Linked DNA regions of Ovis aries. The protein of the gene in region 2 interacts with the protein of the main gene of each other region in a biochemical or structural test. Links are inferred from orthologs where the notes say so. Each region holds a gene or a part of one and is shown on either strand. Other genes may lie near its edges. The genes, in order: FBXL17, KLHL12, DRD4, LNPK and PDCD6.

Region 1 (4,434 bases), on a different chromosome or scaffold from region 2:
CTGCATGGCTAACTGGGTTGAGAAAGTGTTTATCTGTGTGTGTCTAAATAACCTGAAAAAGTGAAAAAGTTGGCTTAAAACTCAACTAAGAAAGAAAACTAAGATCATGGCATCTGGTCCCATCACTTTATGGCAAACAGATGGGGAAACAGCAGGAACAGTGACAGACTTTATTTTGGGGGGCTCCAAAATCACTGCAGATGGTGACTGTAGCCATGAAATTAAAAGACATTTGCTCCTTTGAAGAAAAGCTATGACCAACCTAGACAGCATATTAAAAAACAGAGCCATCACTTTGCCAACAAAGGTCCGTCTAGACAAAGCTATGGTTTTTCCAGTAGTCATGTATGAATGTGCGAGTTGGACCATAAAGAAAGCTGAGCACCGAAGAATTGATGCTTTTGAACTGTGGTGTTGAAGACTCTTGAGAGTCCCTTGGATTGCAAGGAGATCTAACGAGTCAATCCTAAAGGAAATCAGTCCTGAATATTCATCGGAAGGACTGGTGTTGAAGCTGAAAGTCTAATACTTTGGCCACCTGAGTGAAGAAGTGACTCACTGGAAAATAACCTGATGCTGGGAAAGACTGAAGGTGGGAGGAGAAGGGGACGACAGAGGATGAGATGGTTGGATGGCATCACCGACTCAATGGACATGGGTTTAGGTGAACTCGGGGAGCTGGTGATGGACAGGGAGGCCTGGTGTGCTGCGGTTTATGCGGTCGCAAAGAGTCGGACACGACTGAGCGACTGAATTGAAATTACCTGATAAGTGCGTTTATCCTGAAATGCACTTAGGGAAAGCCGGTCCGTCCCTAGCAACAGGTGTCCGCAGACAAGCGCAGAAACACGGCAGAGCCGGTCCACCCGTGAGTCCCTCGCGGGAGAACCATTCTCGCGGAGAGCACGCCGGGCACCCGGGCTGGCCTCGGGCGGGACCGGGTCTCCTCAGCGGCCTCGGCGTCCGGTCGGGCGGTGAGAGCGCCGGTTCCCGGCCAATGGCGGTTCCCGAACGTGCGCCTAGCGACGTCAGCGCGACTGTGCCCACGGACGTCACCCGACGAGCTCGGAGGCGGCTCCCCCCGGTCCCACGAAGGGGGCGTGGGCTCCGGGAGACCGCGGGCGACGGGGACAGGGGGCGGTGAGCCCGCACCCGTGACGGCGGGCCCGGCCGAGCGGCCCTCAGGGGGCGAGCGGCCACGCGCGCCGCCGAGGCCCCGCCCCCTTCCCGATCGGCCACACCCCCTTCCCGAGCGGGCCGCGCGCTCCCGAGCCGCCCCCCCGCCGCTGAGGCCCCGCTCCCTCCCCGATCCGGCCGCGCGCTCCCGCTTCGCCTCCCCGCACGCGCCTCCGCCGCGGCCCCGCCCCTTCCCGCTCGGGCCGCGCGCTCCCGCTCCGCCTCCCCGCGCGCGCCTCCGCCGCGGCCCCGCCCCCTTCCCGCTCGGGCCGCGCGCTCCCGGCGCGCCGAGCTGTGCCGCGGGCGCGCGCGCCGCCGCCGGCAGAGCCGCCGTTAAAGTGGTCTGAGGCGCGCCCCGCGCTTCCCCCGCCGCCGCCCTGACCAACTGAGGCGGCGGCCCAGGCTGCGAGCAGCCGCGCGGTCAGCAGGCTCGCCGGCCTCCGTCGGGTCCCAAGAGCTCGCGCCCCGCCGTGGTCTCCCGGCGTCCCGGGGCAGAGCATGTAGCCCCCCAGCGCCGCGTGTGTGCCCGTGTGTGTGTGTGCCCGCGTGTGCCCGCGGGCCCGAGGCCGACCCCCGCGCGGCCTGCCCTGACCCGGCCCCTGCGCGGGGCCTCCCCTATGGGCCTCCTGCTCTCGAAGGAGCCGCGCCGCCGCCCGCGCCAGAAGCGGCCCCGCTGCGGCAGCTGGTGGCGCCGCCGCCGCCGGCCTCTCCTCAGGTGGCCCCGCGGGGCCCCGGCCAAGGCGGCGGCGGCGCCCCGGGGCCGGGACTGCCTCTTCCGCGGGCCCTGCATGCTCTGCCTCGTCGTGCACGGCCCCGGCGCGCCCGCCCCCGCCGGCCCGGAGGAGGAGCCGCCGCTGTCGTCGCCGCGGCCGCTCGGGGCCTACGGCGCGGCCGCCTCCTCACAGCCCCCGGCGCGGCGCCGCGCGGGCCTGGCCGCTGAGGACGCCGCGCGCCGCCTTCTGCTCTCGGCCGCCGCCGCCGTCGCCGCGCCGCCCGCCCCCGGCCGCGGGGAGCTGGGGCCGGCCGCCGCCGCCGCCCGGGAGCGGCCGGCCCGGAGCCTCCTGTGGGCCCGCGCGGGGCCCGTGCGTCCGCCCGCGCCGCCCGCCGCCTCGCGGCTCTTCCGGGCGCCGCCGGCCGAGCCCCCTGCGCCCCCCGAGATGGTGTGCAAGCGGAAGGGGGCCGGGGTCCCCGCCTGCACCCCCTGTAAGCAGCCCCGCTGCGGCGGGGGCGCCTGCGGCGGAGGCGGCGGCGGCGGCGGGCCTGCGGGCGGCGGCCCCGAGCAGCACCCCCCGCCGCCGCTCCGCGCCCCGCGCTCCCCCGCCGCTCCGGGAGGGGCCCCCGCGGAGGCCGGCGGGGACGCGGTCCGAGCGGGGGGCGCCGCCCCCTCGGTCGCCCGGCAGCAGCAGCACGAGTGCGGCGACGCCGACTGTCCGGAGGGCCCCGATCCGCCGTGCGACTGCCACAGGGAGCCGCCCCCCGACGCCCCGGACATCAACCAGCTGCCGCCCTCCATCCTGCTTAAGGTGGGTCTGCGTGCCCCCCACCCCCCGCCGGGCCCGCTCGGGGGTTCTCTCTGCTGCACGCCCCGCGGGGGGGCCTCCCTGACACCCGGTTATTTCAGGTGCAGGGGCTTGGAGTCCGCTGAAGGTCCTTTTAATCGCTTGGGTCTGCTGCGCGTAATCCCGGTTCACCTAGGAGAGTCCCAAGCCCACTGTTGTAGAAACTGTAGGTTTTCTGTGAAAAAAAAAAAGAAAAAAAAAATTTTTTTTTTTTTAATCCCTTGAGCGGTTTGCACTTAACCGAGTAAAGACTTGTATATTAGTGTTGGAAAGTGTTCAGACAGTAATTTCAGATTTGATAACTGCTAGCTGATGTCAAAAAACAGTTACCTTTTATCTATCGAGCACTTGACCACGATGATCAGGCACAGTGCCAGAGCTTTATATACATAATATCTCACCGAATCCTTCAGTTGACGCCATGAAAGAAATATTGTTAACATCTTTACACAAGAAGAAACCGATGTATCAGCGCAAGTGCCTACAGTCGAAAGTCAGGCCGACGTGGTGTGTGTTCCTGTGGAGCTTACAGGCCAGCGGTGCTTCAAGGGGCTGAATGACTTGCCCAAGGTCACACACAGACAGATCTGCGGAGTTTAGGCCTGTCTGACTTGAAAACCCTTTTATTTATGCTATGTTCTATTATCTTAGGTAATGCAGACAGATTACCAGACGGTAAGGACAAGTGTATTTTTTGTTGGGGGGATACGTGTGTGGGGAAGAGGTAGATATCCCGTGGAAACCTGGTCCCACTTTCAGCTACCAAGTAAAATTTGCAGTTTTGTCAAGCAGCAGCAGCAGTGATGAATTTAAGTACGTGATACTTTGTAGTAAGTTAGTATTAAAAAGTTTCTTTTCCGTTCATTTTCTCTCCTCTCTCACCCCCACACTGCAGCTTTCTGGAGCTTATAAATATAAACCCCCTTTATCACTGTGGATGATATTTAAGACTAACTAGAAAAACCTAGATAAGAATTTGGCTAGTTTTATTGTTATTGAAGTAGCTGTCATCAATTATAATTTTTATTCTGAACAATATACTTTGATTGGACTTTTTGCATGTTTATAATCCTGTGTGCTTGGATTTGTTTTACTGTGATATTAATATTTTTGTAAATAATATAGCAAAGAACTGGGAAAGCTTAACTTTTCCACATGTCCAAGAGGATGAGATGGTTGGATGGCATCACCGACTCAATGGACTTGAGTCTGAGTGAACTCCGGTAGTTGGTGATGGACAGGGAGGCCTGGCGTGCTGTGGTTCATGGGGTCACAGAGTCAGACACGACTGAGCAACTGAACTGAAGTTGTTTACCTTTCAGTAGTGTATTTTTGAAGGAGTAATTACTGCCTCTGTATGTTCAGGCTGTGCATTTTAGGGCAGAGGGAATGTTCTTGAATCTTTTAACTTAGTGGACAACATGGACAAATGAAATATCCACAGATATTTGGCATAGAGGTTTGATTGCTGTCTTGTTATTTGGTAAGTAAGACTGTTTAAAAACAAAGTAAAAAGCAGATACTTCCCACTTTCTACCTAAACTGTCATTATTTCATGAGGTAGAGGACATTTTAATACAAAAACAAAAATAAAAGAAAGGAGGAAGGACATGATTTCATAATAAAGAGAGTTCCAATACAATCAGTTTATTTGCAACATTGTTCTTTTCCACATTTTTGCTAAGGACTGTCGAAAACT
Region 2 (3,926 bases):
AGCCCTGCTGCAGAAGCACAGCAGCTCCCTCCTTCCTGTTGGTCTCTGGCCCAGCCCTGAAGGGAGGCGACGCCAAGCAGGCAGGTACCTGAATCTCATCGCACTTGATGAGCTTCTCCACCTCCCCCTGGCTGAGAAGGATGAACTCTTCATGCTGCACCACTTCAGGGAAATGCTTCTGGCTGAAAACCTCAGCTGCCTGCATCAGGTCAACACAGTTGTGAGTCTCAGCGAAGTCCCGGATGCCCAGGCAGTTGGAAGGGTCCAGCTGGCTTTCCAAGAACTCGCAGCAGGCTTGCTTCACGCCTAGACAGACACAGACAGGGGTCCTGAGGACACTTGGCAGGACAGGCCTCAGTCCCTGGGTCACAACCTCTCCGAGTGGGATCAGAGGGACCCTGGCTCAATGCCTAAGAATCAGTTTAGAAATTTCATTCTTTGGGAATCCAAATCCTATTTCCATCTTACGTGCTATGCAGCCTTCAGCAAAGCCTTTACAAATGTGTGCTGCAGCCTTGAAACAAGTGCAGCAGGACGGACTGTGTTCATGGACACCGCCACAATCACAAAGACATGCCTGTAAAACTCCTGGGCGTCACGCTACAGAACCAAGTGTCACTGAGCACAATCCACCTAATCCCTGCTCCACACGAGGACTTACTGAAAGATGCCAAAGGAGGACAGACAGGAGGGGCTGGAGGCACTCTCCTATCTGTCCAACTGAAAAGCTCTGAGTGTAACGTTCGTTTAGAGCTGGCACTAACGCAAAGGCCTCGCACTCCTCCAGTCATGTTCTGAAAACTATCAGAAACAGATCTGGAGGTTAGCGCAGATCGGCACCTGGAAGGGGAACCGTCTCCAGTGCTGTGGAAACCTTACACTTTCACTCTTGTGGGTCAACCTACATGTTCAATAGATAGTTTCTATGGTTCAGAAGGTTAAAGGGCCCATGTGAGTGGCCCCCAGCCCCCTTACCCACCCAGGCACCTGCGGGAGCTCCCTTCCATGGAGGCAATGACTTGTGTCTCATGACCCCCACAGGACGGCTGTGCACACAGACGGAAGGAAAGGCCTCTACTGGCCCCTCCTGCATATTTTCACAAACAGAAAGCACGTGCCCTCTTTACTAAAGAGCCAGAGAGCACACCTGGAGGGTCTTCTACTCTGCGACTGAAGCCTCAGCTTCTCAGCCATGGACATTAACCCTGAGGCCCATCGTGCCCCTCACTCCCGCGACCTGGCCCGTCCGTGGGCCACTGTGGGTGCACGCCTCCGCAGCTGTACCTTTCAGCTGGAGCAGGCAGGCCGCGGGCAGCAGCTCCTGGACGTTCTCCACAGTCACGTGCACGGTCTCCGTGTACACAAAGTCCAGCAGGATTTCCATGGTGGAGGCAGTTAAACCCTGAATATCTACATACGGCTTCCCCTTCTCTGAGAGCTGAAAGTGAAAAGGGCGTGAGATCACGGTGGTTGCAATTCCACAAGGTTAAGGCAGAGGCTCGTATCCGGGTCCTTGAAGGGATGTTAACAATATTAACTGCATACACGTCTTTAACAAAAAAAGGTCGTCTCTTTTGATCTATGCAAAGCAAATACAGCATATATTTGCAGCTTTTCAAATGGGGGGAGCTATGTGCAACCCAAGAGCACACAGAGGTGACACCTTCTGAGAATATCAATTTTACTTGTGAATAATTTAATATGCTGCTCTCTTATTAAAACAAATGCAGACACGGAATAGAACCAAAAGTTCCATGAGCATGCCACTAGCGTCCATGGGCTTTTCAGAGGAAACATGAACTTCGCTGAGTTCCGGCTGCAGACCCTCCAAAATGAGCCAGCACTGTCCCACCTGTCCTGAGGCTGCACTGGCCACCTTCAGGGTGTACCACTGTACCACTGTACCACTGTACCACTGAAGACAACTGGATTGTCTGATACTTCCTCAAATACTGGGTTGATTCTCTTTCGGGATTACTGAATTATTGGTGGTACATTTAGTCTAGACTATATCCTTGGGGTTATGAGTATAATTGAGGCCAGACACGCATAGAAAACGGTTTGTCTAAGGGTGGAAATCTTCAGCTTCACAGGACAGTAACCATCTGAAAATGGGTCACCTTATGAATGTTTTACTAGATCTTAGGTTAGAAATTACGATTACTTACAAAACTCCAGTGTGTGTCTGTTAGAAACTAAACATCTTGATCAACTTTGATTCCTTCATCAGTCCAGAATCATCAAAAAGTATTCTCTAACAAAGCCAAGAATAAAATAAATCCCAGAAACCAGAAAATGTCATCAGTACATTATTTTGGAAAACCATTTTACTAACTGTAAAGTCTTTACGAACCGAAATATATAAGTACATTCATGTCAGGAGTTTCTTAGTCAGTAACCTATATTCCCATTAGCCTAATAGTTTAAATACATAAATGAGTTTATTATCTAAGAACTTACAGCAACTGCAGTATTTCACATTAATACTCGCTTTACAATTTTTCAGAGTGCCTCTCATTTACTATCAGTTCACCTGATGGCCACAGCAGCCTGGTAAGGCAGTTAGGTCTGAAGCCACTGCCATTTAACACACGAAGGGTCTGAGCTTCAGAGAAACAACGTGACTTAGCCTAGGTCTTCACTATTAATAGAAAGAGACAGACTGAAGCCAGGCCTCCTGCCCCAGCCGGTGCTACTTCAGTGGCGCCGCATTTATGGGGAAACCTAGAGCTGGGAGAGAAGGGAGACACCAGCAAGCTTAATCGTTCTGTGCTGCAGACAACCTAGTGAGGTGAGATGGTCGCTAGGGTTCACACAGAATTTCTAAGAGAACTGAACCTAAAATCCAGGTCTCTGGACCCTCCTGGTTAAATCATTTAGTGTTAAAAACAAATTCAAGGGTATAGAGACCAGTCTGGAGATTCTTAAAAGACTACAAATAGGAGTCCCACATGATTCAGAAATACTGCTCCTGAGCATATTTCCAAAAAAGATGAAACCTTTAATTTGAAAACATTCATGCACTCCAGTGTTCAGAGCAGCACTACTTAGAACAGCCAAGACACGGAAGCAACGGAAGCAACCTCCACGTCCATCAGCGGATGAATAAAGATGTGGTGTATACGTGGGGGACACACACAGACACACACAAGTGGAATATTACTCAGTCATAAAAAAGTAATAAAGAACAATGCCACTCGCAGCAGCCCAGGAGGACCTGCAAATGGTCAGGCTTCCACATTCTCCCCGCCAGCCCTGTGGCTGAGCACTGGCTCGGCATCTCACACGGCTCTGGCTTTACGATGGAAACATCACAATTAGAGTCAAGTTAAGTTCCTGGAGAAGGGAATGGCAAACCAAGTTAAGTTAATTTAGGATTAAATCCTCTCTACCATTTACAAGCTGTATGGCATTTCGTATCTGAGACCTTATTTCTTCACTTGTAAAATGAGATGGTAACAACCATCCCTGGGGTGAGTGGGACAGGCAATCGTCTAACACAGCATCTGGCCCACAGGCCGGTGACCTTCGTTATAACATGATTACCATGACGAAGGATGTCAGGTTTATGTACAAGCACAGATAAACAACATACTCGAGACAATTTATTTAAAATAAAAAAATCAGACTTGCAATCCTGGAAGCTGGGAGCGCTCTCCTCTGCTCAGCTTTCCGAGCCCCTCATGACTCAGCAGCTCCTCCACACGCTGCGTGTCTTGCCAGGCAATCACTACGGCAGTCTTTTCCCTAACACTTCGCGAGCACCATGTTTTTTTTGCCAGGCCAGCCTGTCCCCAATTCCCTGGTTAAGGGCTTGTGCTCCCAAGTTGGCATCTTTCTGGCGATGTTTCGTGTGCCCACACAGCCAGGCACCAGTCCTCCGCCACCCACCTGAGACTGCACTAACAGCCCCCTGGGAGGAGGAG
Region 3 (4,432 bases), on a different chromosome or scaffold from region 2:
CCGCTGGCCCGGGAGCAGAGTCGGGTGGAGTGTGTGCGGGAGGGTGTGAGCCCAGGCAGCCCTCCCAGGTCGCAGGCGCCCGTCCCCAGCATGCACCTTCCTGATGCCCCGCTGCTCAGCCCAGGGCTCAGCCAGGACCTTCCTCGAAGGAGGGAAAGGGTTAACTGGCCAGATGGGGCCAGTGGGGATGCCTCCTCCTCGCCTCCACCAAAGCCTTCCCAGCAGGTGACCGGGATCTGTTTAATTACTCCTACAAAGCCCCAGGCGAGGCGGTCCGGCCGGGCGAGGCCGCGCGGCGCTCTGTCAGCAGCAGAGGCGCAGAGCCTTGCGAAAGACGGTGCGGAACTCGGCGTTGAAGACGGTGTAGATGACGGGGTTCAGGGCGCTGTTGACGTATCCCAGCCAGGTGACCGCGCTGACCAGCCGCGGCGACACGGCGCACGCGGGACACAGCGCCCGCGTGATGTGCACCACGAAGAAGGGCGTCCAGCAGAGCAGGAAGGCCCCTGGGGGCGGGGCGGGCGGGGTCACGGCCACGCCCCCCACCCTGGGCACCGTGCCCCCTCCGCCGCGCCCCCCGGGGCCGGTACCCACCGACCACCACGGGCAGGACCCTCATAGCTTTGCGCTCCCGGCCTGTGATCTTGGCACGTCTCCTCCTGCGGGCCTGAGGCGAGGGTTCGGCCGCAACGGCGTCGGGGGGCGCGACGGCGTCCGGGGCGGGGGCGGCGTCGGGGGTCGGGCCGGGGGCGGCGGCGGCGGCCGGGCTGGCGTCCGGCGCGGGCGGCCCGGGGCCGCTGGGCCGGCGGGGCGCACGGCCGTGCAGCTTGGCGCGGCGCGCCGCCTCCCAGCGCCGCAGGCCGCGGAACGTGGCCCAGTAGAGCAGCAGCATGAGCGGGCAGGGCAGGAAGAAGGAGCACACGGACGAGTACACCACGTAGTCGCGGTCCTCCAGGCGGCACACGGAGGGGTCGCGGCCGCGCGCGTCGTTGAGGCCGCACAGCACGGGCGCCGCCACCGCCGCCGACAGCAGCCACGTGGCGCCGATGAGCAGCAGCTGCCGGCCGCCGCGGCTCTGGCGGTTGTAGCGCAGGGGCACGGCCACGGCCACGAACCTGCGGGGAGCGCGGTGAGGGCGGCGGGGCGGGGCGGCCCGACGGGGCGCGCCCACGGCCACGAACCCGCGGGGAGCGCGGGGAGGGCGGCGGGGCGGCTTACCTGTCCACGCTGATGGCGCACAGGTTGAATATGGAGGCCGTGCACAGCATGACGTCCATGGCCATGAGCGCGTCGCAGAGGCCGGGGCTCAGCAGCCACACGCCGCCCTGCACCTGAGCACGGGGAGGAGCCGCGGCAACGGTAGTCGCGGGAAGCTGACCTCCCGCCCCGCCCCCGAGATGTCTTCCTGACCCCCGCTGCTGCGGGCAGCGAGGGGGCTGAATAACGGAGGAGTCGCTCCCCGGAAAGCAGGGCGGTCCTCCCCTCCCCTCAGGCCGGGCGCCTGAGAGAGACCTCCCACCTTCCTGTTAGAACCGGGAAACGCCTTCGGATTGGAGCGGGTTTCGGGCGGCGTAGGCAACGGCGGGCTGTGATCCCTGATGCTCAGGGTGCGCGGGGCCCCTCCCTGCCGGTGGGGGCCTTGCTGCCCTAGAGCGGGAGCCCAGCACCCACCCCCTTCTCCAGCAGACCGCGCAGTTGGCCTGTCTGCTGAAACTCTGCCTCTGGGACTCTGGACAGGTCATCCCACTCTCGGCCCTGCACGCCTGAAGTGAGGGCAACGGTAGCGTCCACATCATTGTTAGGAAGTAGTAGTCTCGGCCCCTGTGCCCAGCGCCCCCACCAAGGGCAAAGGAGCAGACAGCCGCCCCTTCTAAATCTCCTCCTGCTGATTTGGGACGATTAGGAGCTTAAGAGCCGTCACTGTGACGTCTGTCTACAGCTCGGGTGGGGGGGCAGTAGGTCATGCCCGTCCTTGTCCTGCTGGCCTCTCTGCCCAGCCCTGCCTGGACTCACCCTCCACCTTAGAAAACCATGCCTCCCCTCCCCCCACAGCCCGGGACACCGCGTCCCCAACCCAGCCTAAGCAGCTTTTCTCTGCCCAAACTGCAGAGTGGACATGGCTGACACCAAGGGGGACCCACCCGAGGGCCAGGACCTGACCTGGGTGTGGCGGTTCCCGGACCCAGGTTCTGGCAAAGGCCCTTCCCCAGCCCGAGTGGGCGTGCCCTGCACCTCCAAGAAGGGTCCCTCCTGCTGTGAGCCACGTCAGCGCAGGAGTGAGGGTGCCCTGCCCGGGTCGTGCACACGAGTGACGCGTGGTCCTGTGTGGCTGTGGCCTCGTGGGGTGACCTCTGTGTCTCTGCCCCAGGGGAGCCGGTGTGGTGTAAGCCTGCCTCTGCCAGTCTAGCCAGCTGGCTCCCCTGGGGGGACTGGAACCCAGCGGAGGGGGCTGGGAGGGGGCTGTCTGGACTCCCAAAGCCATCTCTTACTGGGGTCTGTGCTTGAAGAACAGAAGCATCTCTTGGGTAACTGACATAGAAGGCGACGCGGAGAGAGGGACAGAGCGGGAGGGCTGACGGACAGCGGGATGGGGGAGGGGAGCGAGGTTCATAGGGGACCCGGCTCCGGTCGTCCTGGGACCTGCGCAGCGCCCAGCTCCAGGATCCTGAGAAGCCAAGCGGCGGGGTCGGGCTCGGTCCTCCGTGTGGACGGGACAGGGGATCCGGAGCGGGTGAGGGTGTGCGTGCGGGGGCGACGCGGGCTCACCTCGGAGTAGACGAAGAGGGGCAGCACCAGCAGGGCGAGGAGCAGGTCGGCGGCCGCCAGACTCACGATGAAGTAGTTAGTGGGCGTCTGCAGGGACCGCTCGGCCGCCACGCTCATGCACACGAGCGAGTTCCCCGCGAGCACCGCGCCGATGAGCAGCACGCCCCCCACCAGCGCCGCCGCCGCCCCGGGGCCCCCGGCGCCGACGCCCGTGCCGGGCGCGCGCTCCGCCAGCAGCCCGTCCGCGTCTGCGGCGCTGCGGTTCCCCATGGCGCCCGGCCGGCGCGCCCCGCCGGGCGCTCAGCACCACGGACAGTCCCGGCCGCGCTGGGGCCCCGCCCCTAGGCCCGCCCAGCCCGGCCTTAGTCCCGCCCCGGCCGCCCGGTTCCGCGGACCCCAGGGCGCTCCAAGCTGCACCCAGTTTTGGCCCATCTTGGACTTCGCCCCTAGGGCCGGGCAGATGGACAAACGCCACGGCCCAGCGCCGGCCCAGTGAAGAGATGTGATTGGCCTGGGCGGGTCCAGCATCGCTCTCTGCCACGCAGGGTTGCGGGACGACGCGAGGGTCAGCGCCCAGAAAAACCCACGGGATGAAAGGGCGGCCCAACCATCCCTCGAGACTTGCGGGCACCCACGCCAGCGCCACCAGGTCCAGCCTCGGAGACCGCCGCAACCCTGCATGGGCCCAGGCTGGGCGCCCCCCTCCAGAGATGCTTCTGCAGACCCCTGAGGCAAAGATGGAGCCGCATGGGGGCCATCCTTCCCAGGCTGCTTCCACCAGACACCAGCACGCCCCAGTCCAGGCTCCCCCTCCTTCCCTCCGGGCACACTCCTCTCTCCACACCCCCACCTGACCCGGCCTCTCTGGCCCCTTCATCTCCCCCTGCAACGACTGCAGACCCCAACCTGGGTTCCTGCACCCGACTCCCCAGAGCAGCCTCTCCCCCAGCCTGGACCACACTCAGCCACTCTCCACCCCACAGCCACTGCCTGACCCTTCATCCTACCCCAGCAGTTGGGTGGGCAACCCTGATCCTGGCTCCATCACCCTGAGCAAGCTGTGTGCCCGTCTGAGCCTGGTAAAATGAGCTCACCCCACAAAGCCTAGAGGCTGTAACGGCAGCCAAGGCCAGGAGAAGGCCACTGGGAGCTTAGCAGCCGCCAGAGTTCTTCGCACTCATTAGACGCATCTTACCTGAGTCACGTCCTCACAGAGAAAAGAAGCCCCAAAGGAGATCCCTCTCAACCTGCACGCCCTACACACGGGCTCCCTGTGTGTGTTAAAGAGAAGACAAAGACCCTGGAGAGACACACCGTGATGGTACTCACAAGGGGCACAGCCACAGGAGGCCTGATAAAGGAAGTGCATGTGCAAGACTCGATGTGAATGGGCACCACGCTGCATCCAGCACCTCCGTCCTGCTCATGTGGATCAGGAAAGGGACAGGCAGGCTCCTGCCCCTCCTGAAGGCTTCAGCAAGAGAACTCACAATCCTAGCGACTTTTCTCACAAGATGAAAATCCAAGGCAGGGCTGGCTCCGTGACCTTGGGTTGGGTGCCAAGCAGTGAGGCCAGCCCAGCCTCTGATCAGCGTTGATTCTCCCTCCTGGACCTCAGACATCTGCCACCATTAAGGGTGAAAAGGCAGCCCACGTACTTCCCTTG
Region 4 (3,874 bases), on a different chromosome or scaffold from region 2:
AAAGAGAGAATACACAGAGTGAAGAAATGCTGACAAGGTAGAAAGGTGAAACATCAACATGTAAATGATGGGCAGAGGAAAAGAAACCTGCAAAGGACACTGAGAGAAAAGGGGCAGAGGAATAAGAGAACAATAGTGTGAGAAGGCAAAAGCCAAATGAGAAAAAGTGTTTCAAACTAAAGGGAGCACCCAAGAGTGTCAATGGAATAAGGTAAGAACTGAGTTTTTGCTGAATTTAGCAACAAAGTTATTCATTCACATAATAAATAATAAATGTGTCAAACACTGTACCAGGCTCTGGAGATACAAAGGTAAATAAGATAGAACCTTGCACACAAAGACTCTTAAGTCTTGAAGAAATACAGTAAACTAATAAACAGATAAAATACTCACAGATTATAATAACAGAAAAAGTGACAGGATCAAGTAAAAGGCAGAGACCAACCTTAGATATGGACCTTGGGAGGGCATCTCTCTTGAGGAAAGAACATTTAAACTGAGACCTAAGGTGGGAAAGGGTTTAGCTTAGTTAGAGGATTGAAAAGACACCCTAAGACTACAGCATAATGGTAGAAGAGAGATGGAGAGAAAAGCCAGACATGTTTGTAGATTATGCTAAGGGCATAGTGAGAAGTTTAGATGATGACCTGCTGAGCATTAGTAAGTAGGGAAGTGAAGGTTACTCTAGCTCACAGCACTGATTAGTTTGCTTTTCCTCATTTATACTAGTCTTAATAATCAGAAATAGGACATTATACCATTCTTCAACCATTAATTGTTTATTATAATATCAGAAGAAACTTTTTTATTTTAATAGGTACTACATGATTACAGCATGTTACCCATTATATTAGTTTACCTACTTTAACCTTCTTCCATAGATACTTCTGATATCTACTTAATTCTATCACTAAATTATATTTCTCTGAGATTACTCATTTTTCAGAATTTGAATGTTTTATAACAAGAAGACTGAGCAAAGTGTTACTCAAATATTATGGGCCAATAACACACACACCAAAAAAACTGATGGGCTTCAGCAAAAAAGAAAAAAAGACTATATTCTATAGTATTATTATATTCCACAGTTTCAGGTTCCTATTGCCTTAATCTATGCATTTATATACATGTATATGATAAAGAAAACCTATCAGAAAACTTTGGCTTGATTCTGATCGGCCAAATTATATTTCATATTTTTTTTTCATTTCCTTATCTGCAAGAAGGAGAATTCAGAGCCCTTCCACATTTCACAAAGATATCAAGACTATAAATATCTACTATCAGACAGTCAGCTAGGCCCACTACATAAATTACTTTTTATTTTCCTCATACTCCAAAAAGTAGGCATTCTTCCAATTTTAAAGATGAAAAAACATGACCTCAGTGAGGTCAGGTGACTTGCCCAAGACTGCAGAGCTAGAATTCAAGCCCAATCCTGTAATCTTGAAAACTCTCAGACTATTAACACATTTGTGTTCCTTTAAAAAACCTATCAGATATAAGATATTAAATCATAAAGGTGAATTTTTAAATAACAAATGGTATTTTATTTAATTTTTAACAAACCATATATAACTTAGAAATACTTGCCATATACACCATTCCTGTATATTCCTTCCTTTGGCATAACTTGATAGTTTTTTCTTAGTAATAGATAAAAAGAAGATAGAAAAGATAACAACAAGAATTATTATTCTGGGTCCAAAAAATTGCCAGTTAGTCTTTAATACACATATTAAATCCAATGAACTACTAGTAATTAACTGCCTATTCTCACAAAACTATGTCTCTCAAAATTAAAAACTACAAATGGCCTAAGGTTTTCCTGAATCAGAAAAATCTAACCTCTGATTAGAAACTCTAAATGTCACTAATTCTCTGAACTTAAAAGGTAACAAATTTGAATAAAGGATCATAATTCTTTCTCAGCATAATTTATAGATTTACTGAATTGTGAGCTCTTCCTACTAAGACTTTTCAGGTACCTAAGTCATCTACCAAGATATTGTCTGAAGTAGTCTAGATATTTAACAAAAAGAAACTGCTGCCAGATCATCTTTATTTTCCTTAACAAAATACACATAAGAGCACAAAATTCATTTATAATGTCAGCATTATTTTACAAATATAAATAATGTTCAAAATTCAAGTACAGTCAAGTGCAGAGATATTTCCTATATGTTAATATGTAAACATAAGCTAATTATATACATCAGGTACCTCTGGCCCAGCTGCAAAATAAGAGACATCAAAAGTAACACTGCACTTGACTGTTCAACTGTAAGAATTCACACAAATGCCTATATTGTTACTGTAATAACTTTCATACCTCTTGATGTAAATGCCTAAATAGATATTTTACCCCCGGCAAATATCACAAGAGTTAAAATTCTATCCATTTTAATAATGAAGTATTAAAAATCTTAATTGAGTTTCATTCCTTAAAACAAACGCTATTAGAACTTATTCCTAACCAAGGTTCTTCCTATGCCAAATGTATTTACAGGCCACAAGTAGAAAACAAAACTTGTTACATTTGTTTACTTTTAGAACAGAAAAAAATACCTAAACATTGTCTAAACAGTGTGGGTTTCTGTACATTCAAAAGGATTTTACTTTACTGACACCATTTGCTTTTAATTTTAAAACCCAGTAGACATAACTTTGACAAATTGAAATAGCTAGGCAATCTGAAATTCAAACGATACCAAGCATGTCTTTGAGGGGGCGAAAATAAAGAAAGCACTACCTTAAAAAGCAATAACTGACATCAGCAAGACTACAAATATCCAGTTGAAGGCACATGGAAGCATTTACTACATTGTCAAAGATTCTCCACTTAGTTCAGGATTAGGAACAGCATCAGCTCTGGGAACTGTGGACTTGTCTTCACTCACTGAGGTTTCTTCATTCTCGGTCTCTTCTTGTTTCTCCTCTGGTTCCTCTATGCCAGATGCTTGTTCAATCACTGGGTTTGTCTGCTCTGTATCTGGTATTTTGTCATCTGTCTGTTCTGTACTATTATCTAGAACATCTTGTTCTTCTAAAGATTCTGAAAAGATAAAGAGTAAAAACTTTAGGAATAGCCAATGTTAATAACTACTAAATAAGATAAGCACGTGCAAAGAAACTAAGAAACAGAAGAATAGTCTAACATTATCCTTAAAATATATCTTTTTAATGTACTTAAGTACTTCATACACGCATACTCAGTCGCTAAGTCATGTTGACTCTTTTGTGATCCCATGCACTGTAGATCACCAGGCTCTTCTGTTCACGGGATCTTCCAAGCAAGAATACTGGAGTGGGTTGCCAAGCCCTTCTCCAGGGCATATTCCCAACATGGGGATCAAACCAATGTCTCCTGCATTGGCAGGCAGATTCTTTACACTGAGCCACTTTGGAAGCCTATCCCTATAGCATACTATATATGAAATGATATGAATGAAGGAAAAATCAATTTGGGGGAAACATACCCATAAACATAATTTTACCTGAAGTCCCATTGTTCACAAAATAAATGAACTTTCATAATACTTAAGAACTTTCCTAAAGATGGATTTGAAAGCTGAATGTCTGAATATATAAAAATTCCAATAGAATTATATATTATAAGACAACAGCCCAGCAAAAACAGCAAATGCACTAACTCCCAGATTATGTTTCCTGAAGGAACTAGTCTCTCTTGCATCCAGGCAACACTGTGACCGATGTATAAATGTGTACCTTTGTAGGGTGCATATGTGTGTATAGGTGGTGTGATTTCCCACACTGATTTACATCTCTATTATCCATGACTGTGGGGGTCTGGATCCACCTTTTCCAAAGTCAAGACAAGTCTTCCGTCATCCCTGTGCAAGACAAGTTCTTG
Region 5 (4,618 bases), on a different chromosome or scaffold from region 2:
AATGAATCATTTCCAACCCTTGGAACTAAACAGAAAGTAGAATGGAGTAATTCTGGGCCCCACAGTTGGTGTTGGCTGTGGCAATCCAGGCTGGAGACTCAGCCAAAGGTTGGTAGAGGCTGTGTCACTGTCAGGAGAGGGAGACCAAAGCCAGCTAGAGTCGCTGAGGAGTTCCTTGCAGAAGTTGCCCTGTACACTCTGTGCTGGAAAACTTACAAATTGGGTGCAAAATCATAGTTATTAATTTTGTAGTGTTCTAGAGAAAAATGAGCCAGAGGTGGGAGACAGAATAAACAAGTTTCAGAAACTACAGATCAAAGAGCTGTGGAAAACTGTAGAAAGGATTAGTCAGCAAGTGATGTGAATGCTTTCAGTTTAGTTCAGTCGCTCAGTCATGTCCGACTCTGCGACCCCATGAATCGCAGCAAGCCAGGCCTCCCTGTCCATCACCAATTCCCGGAGTTCACTCAGATTCACGTCCATCGAGTCAGTGAATGCTTTAGGAGGATAAAACTAGAAAGCACTTGAATTCATTAAGTCATGAAAAAAGCCACATTGTTGAGGTTTGTAGAGTAATAATCTGTGTGAGTGCCCAAATCAGAATACTTTAATCTCTTTGAAGAGTTTAAAGAACTCTCCAGCATATGGTCTGGTGGTTAAAGGGGGCTGAGGACAATACAATTGGAGACTAACAACAGGTCAGATGCAGAGCCCTGGAAAATGAAAGTGGAGGTCGCTCAGCCGTGTCCAGCTCTTTGGGACCCCGTGGGCTATCCAGTCCATGGAATTCTCCAGGCCAGAATACTGGAGTGGGTAGCCTTTTCCTTCTCCGGGGGATCTTCCTAACCCAGGGATCAAACCCAGGCCTCTCTCATTGCAGGCGGATTCTTTACTAGCTGAGCTACAAGGGAAGCTCAAGAATACTGGAGTGGGTAGCCTATCCCTTCTCCAGCAGGTCTTCGGGACCCAGGAATCGAACCAGGGTCTTCTGCAGAGCTTTGGAGTGCTGAATAATGAAATCCCTTCAGGAAAGGAAGGATCAGGGGCTTCCCTGGTGCTCGGCCCTTCCACAAGCTAAGCAGGGGAGGAAGATGAACCAAGTCAGCGGGATTGCATCAGCAGCTCAACACTTTTGCGAGCCTGGAAGGCGGTGGGAGAGCCCTGAAGCTGGGCTTCCCTGCGCAGAGGGCGCTGCGGCTCAGTCGAAGTCCGGACGGAGGCGGTGGCGTCTTCAGCTGGCCGGAGGGACACGCTGGCCGCCCACCACGGTCAGCAGGGGACATCAGGGCCTGGTCACGCACGTGCAGACCGAGCTGGGGAGCTCCAGGCCCTGTCAGACGCCGGAGGGGGCGTCGTGTGGTACCGAGAAGAAAGCGGGTGTGGGGAAGGAACGCAGAGAAGCGGGGCAGGGGCCGGGCGAGGAGTCCGGAAAGCACAGGAGTCTGGCGCGTCCTCCGCTCCATCACCGCCCTTCCATGGCCTTCATTTGGTGCAAGGACAGTCCATGCTCGAAGGAACTGCCCCCGCCCTTCACGTCCACTCTGTGCCTCGGGAGAAGCAGCTCCCACGCGCGTCCGTGATCCTGGAGGCCGCGTGGCCTCGGCCAGCGGCTCCGAGCCTCTCGCTGGACCCTGACACGCTGGCCGGACGCGGGGGCGTTGCCTGGCAACGGGGCAGCGACGGGATTGGCCGCGCTCGCTCCCGTGACCGCCCCGGAAGTGGCGCGCCCGGCCTCGCCCTCGCCGAGGCGGAAGTGGAGCCACCTGACGCCGCCCGCTTCCCGGCCGCCCCTCAGCCGCACCTCCGCCCTGCTGCGCCTCGGCCCATGGCCAACTACCCGTACCGCCCGGGCCCCGGCGCCGGCCCTGCCGGGGGCGCCGCGCTGCCGGACCAGAGCTTCCTGTGGAACGTCTTCCAGAGGTGCGGCCAGCCGGGCGGGCGGGCGGGCGCGGGCAGGCCTCCCCTTCCCTCGGTGTCAGCCCCGGGCCTTCCCCGTCCTGCCCCTCCGCCCGCAGTCCAGCCTCCCTCCTGGAGCCCTGGCCCCCCGGCCTGCTCCGTCCCCCGAGCTTTGACCTCCTCTCCGCCCCCGGGCACTTCCGGAGCGCAGAGCGGCCGCCCGGAGGCTCGGCCTCCGTCCTTCTACCCCCAGAGAGGGGCCTTTGCTCGGGGACGAGGGTCTCCCGGGGACGCTTATTCAGTTAGGGGAGCAGAAACGCGGGCTCGCCGTGGCTGCCTCAGCCACCAGGCGGGAAGCCAGGCCCTGGCTGTGCGCAGGGGACCGTCACCGCAGTGTCTTCGGTACCCGGTCGTCCTTCCAGCGAATCGGCGCCCCATGCTAGAGTGATTCAAGGTCAGGGAGTGACTTAGTTGTCTAAGAGAACCTTTTCCTGTTTGTGAAAAGGACAAGATCTGAATGGCATTCAGACAGGGTGTGGGAGAAAGGCTTAAGAGAAACGGAGAAGCAGCTTGGCCTTCAGCAGGGGGACCTCAGACAGTGAAGGAGACAGGCTTGCTTATTCCCCACCCGACTATGGGAGTGAGATAGTCTAGCAGCCAGAGGGAAAAGAGCAGGGAAATTAATTTAGGATTGACAGGAGAGTTAAACCTTGGTTCTGGTCCTGTGTTGCTTTGCCTGCACTTTGAATCACCAGTTTAACTGATCTTAATTTTGTAGGGTTGATAAGGACAGGAGTGGTGTGATATCTGACAACGAGCTTCAGCAAGCACTGTCCAATGGTGAGTGCACCTGGCCGTCTGGACTTGTGAACTGCCCGCCTGACCACCCATAGTGAACATCTTCTTTCCTAATCCCTGGCTTGTGGTGGAGGGCTTCCATCCTGGGCGTCCTGTCGGAGCTGCTCTGGGTCCTTGCGGAGCTGGGTGGGGCAGCTGCATGGAGGTCCCAGGGAAAGCCTGAGAGTTGGAGGCTGGGGTGTGAGCTCCAGGAGCACAGGGAGCCTGGCTTTGTACAGCAGATGGTCCTCCGGTTTATTGAAGGCTGTTGAATTTCTCTGGTGACGGTGTCTTGTGACTTGCGAGGCGGGGCACCAGGGTCCCACTGACGCCGAGGAAGTAACTGGGAATGCCGGTGGCCCTGCAGCCGGGTCTCGGGGCTCAGGCTTTTCAGTGGGTGAGTGCAAGTCATCCAGACAGGGGCAAGAGGGTCCCAGCTCTTTGTGCCAGTTCTGGGGGCACACCTTGGAGTCACCTTTTTGCTGGTCTCAGTGTGATTAATCCATTGACGTGGAGACCTTATTTCAGTGAATACCTGACTGTGTTGCCCTTCTTTTGATTCGTCAGACACCACTGTCTTTTTCTGGTCCTTAGATTTGTGGTGTCTTCCAGAGGGGTGCCATTTAAACCTGAAGAGGGATTGATTTTAAGAGGTAATGACGATGCTGAAAGGCTCACCCTTACCAGCGGGAGCTGGCTGGTGCTGTGGGAGGTGGACGGTGCCTCCCAGGCCTGCGCGTGGACTGGAAGGGAGGTGTGCCCCACTGTGGGTACTCCTCTGCTGCTGTTGGTGAAGGGTTGGTATTAAAATGATCACACAGGTGATACTGTCTCTAGAGGATGTCAGACCTGCCGCCATTTCAGCTGGTTGTTAAAGCAAATGGCTCTGTCGGAACACAGCGTTGAACCAGGAGCCTGCTGGAGACGGAGTGTGTTTAACCCAGCCACTGAGTGTATATCAGGGCCTGCTCTGGTGACCCTGTGGAGTCACATTTCTTGATTTGCCCTGAGGGGTTCCTCGGCTTCTGTTGGGGCTGGGTGAGAGCTTACTGGTAGTCACTGAGCCCAGAGGGAGGTAGGGACTCCCTCCCCCCCCTGCCGTGGCTGCCTCTCTCCTCCCTGGGGGTGTGCTGGTTTTTGTGTGGAGCAGCTTGTGATGGTTGTTTTACCTGTTTTGTGTGTATCTTATAAACTGTGATTTTTTTTTAACCAATCGCATTTTCCTCTTTAAATTAGCTGCTAAAATTTTTAAATTTCTGCCTCACCAGTGCCGCAAGCTGAGAATTTTCAGAGGTGAATTTCACTGATAGTCGGGGACCCCATGCTTTCTTAGGCTTTTGTCCCCCCATCCTGCATAACCAGAGGTTGCTCTGTTTTGCTGTGCTCTGAATATCTTCCTAGATTCAATTAGGCTTTTTCTGCAGGAAGTCTGGTTATGAGTGGGTACCGATCGCTAGTCCTTTCTCAGCCCCAGAACAGAGGTAGGTGGCACACTGGAATCAGGATGTGTGCCCGCATAGCTAGGCACTCCCCCACACCTGGTGCCGTCCCACCCGCCTCCTCCCGTTGGCCACCTGAAGGCACAGGCTGGCTGTGGCTCTGCTCCTCCTGCCAGGGTGCCCACCATTCCTCCGGGGCTGAGCGGCTCCTGTCTCTGCACTCATGGCCCCTCCCTTTTCTTGGGTGCTGCCTGTCTCCTCCTCTCGCTCTGCTGGGGTCGTCTCTGCAGCTGCGTCTGGCTCCTGGGCCTCAGCGTCCTGGAGGAAGTTCGAGCCGGTCTCCTGTTTCCAGTTGTGCTGTGTGTCCCGGCCTCAGTCCCTGAGGATGGACACGAGTCAGTTCTCTTCCTGCTCTTCAAATTCCCAGAGTTGTTAAGATTGGAGTT

What was found.
Region 1: the proteins of KLHL12 (region 2) and FBXL17 form a complex in vitro, tested with the Homo sapiens proteins (3 studies listed by BioGRID, with this or other methods). The link is inferred for Ovis aries from reciprocal best matches to the Homo sapiens genes KLHL12 and FBXL17.
Region 3: of the proteins of KLHL12 (region 2) and DRD4, one has a biochemical effect on the other in vitro, tested with the Homo sapiens proteins (2 studies listed by BioGRID, with this or other methods). The link is inferred for Ovis aries from reciprocal best matches to the Homo sapiens genes KLHL12 and DRD4.
Region 4: the proteins of KLHL12 (region 2) and LNPK form a complex in vitro, tested with the Homo sapiens proteins (2 studies listed by BioGRID, with this or other methods). The link is inferred for Ovis aries from reciprocal best matches to the Homo sapiens genes KLHL12 and LNPK.
Region 5: the proteins of KLHL12 (region 2) and PDCD6 form a complex in vitro, tested with the Homo sapiens proteins (2 studies listed by BioGRID). The link is inferred for Ovis aries from reciprocal best matches to the Homo sapiens genes KLHL12 and PDCD6.

What each region holds. Positions count from the first base shown.
Region 1 is NC_056058.1:104,988,223-104,992,656, reverse strand, and holds the start of FBXL17 (F-box/LRR-repeat protein 17), read left to right. Parts: upstream 1-1,475; 5' UTR 1,476-1,793; coding exon 1,794-2,699; intron 2,700-2,813; exon of another isoform or gene 2,814-2,910; intron 2,911-3,065; exon of another isoform or gene 3,066-3,272; intron 3,273-4,434. UniProt on the Homo sapiens protein: Substrate-recognition component of the SCF(FBXL17) E3 ubiquitin ligase complex, a key component of a quality control pathway required to ensure functional dimerization of BTB domain-containing proteins (dimerization quality control, DQC).
Region 2 is NC_056065.1:79,290,886-79,294,811, reverse strand, and holds part of KLHL12 (kelch-like protein 12), read right to left. Parts: exon of another isoform or gene 3,892-3,926; intron 1,439-3,891; coding exon 1,285-1,438; intron 307-1,284; coding exon 89-306; intron 1-88. UniProt on the Homo sapiens protein: Substrate-specific adapter of a BCR (BTB-CUL3-RBX1) E3 ubiquitin ligase complex that acts as a negative regulator of Wnt signaling pathway and ER-Golgi transport.
Region 3 is NC_056074.1:47,050,292-47,054,723, forward strand, and holds the start of DRD4 (D(4) dopamine receptor), read right to left. Parts: upstream 3,072-4,432; 5' UTR 3,037-3,071; coding exon 2,767-3,036; intron 1,332-2,766; coding exon 1,219-1,331; intron 1,116-1,218; coding exon 595-1,115; intron 507-594; coding exon 304-506; 3' UTR 1-303. UniProt on the Homo sapiens protein: Dopamine receptor responsible for neuronal signaling in the mesolimbic system of the brain, an area of the brain that regulates emotion and complex behavior.
Region 4 is NC_056055.1:134,219,230-134,223,103, reverse strand, and holds the end of LNPK (endoplasmic reticulum junction formation protein lunapark), read right to left. Parts: intron 3,056-3,874; coding exon 2,820-3,055; 3' UTR 758-2,819; downstream 1-757. UniProt on the Homo sapiens protein: Endoplasmic reticulum (ER)-shaping membrane protein that plays a role in determining ER morphology. Involved in the stabilization of nascent three-way ER tubular junctions within the ER network.
Region 5 is NC_056069.1:71,839,052-71,843,669, reverse strand, and holds the start of PDCD6 (programmed cell death protein 6), read left to right. Parts: upstream 1-1,765; 5' UTR 1,766-1,825; coding exon 1,826-1,920; intron 1,921-2,674; coding exon 2,675-2,736; intron 2,737-3,327; exon of another isoform or gene 3,328-3,386; intron 3,387-4,618. UniProt on the Homo sapiens protein: Calcium sensor that plays a key role in processes such as endoplasmic reticulum (ER)-Golgi vesicular transport, endosomal biogenesis or membrane repair.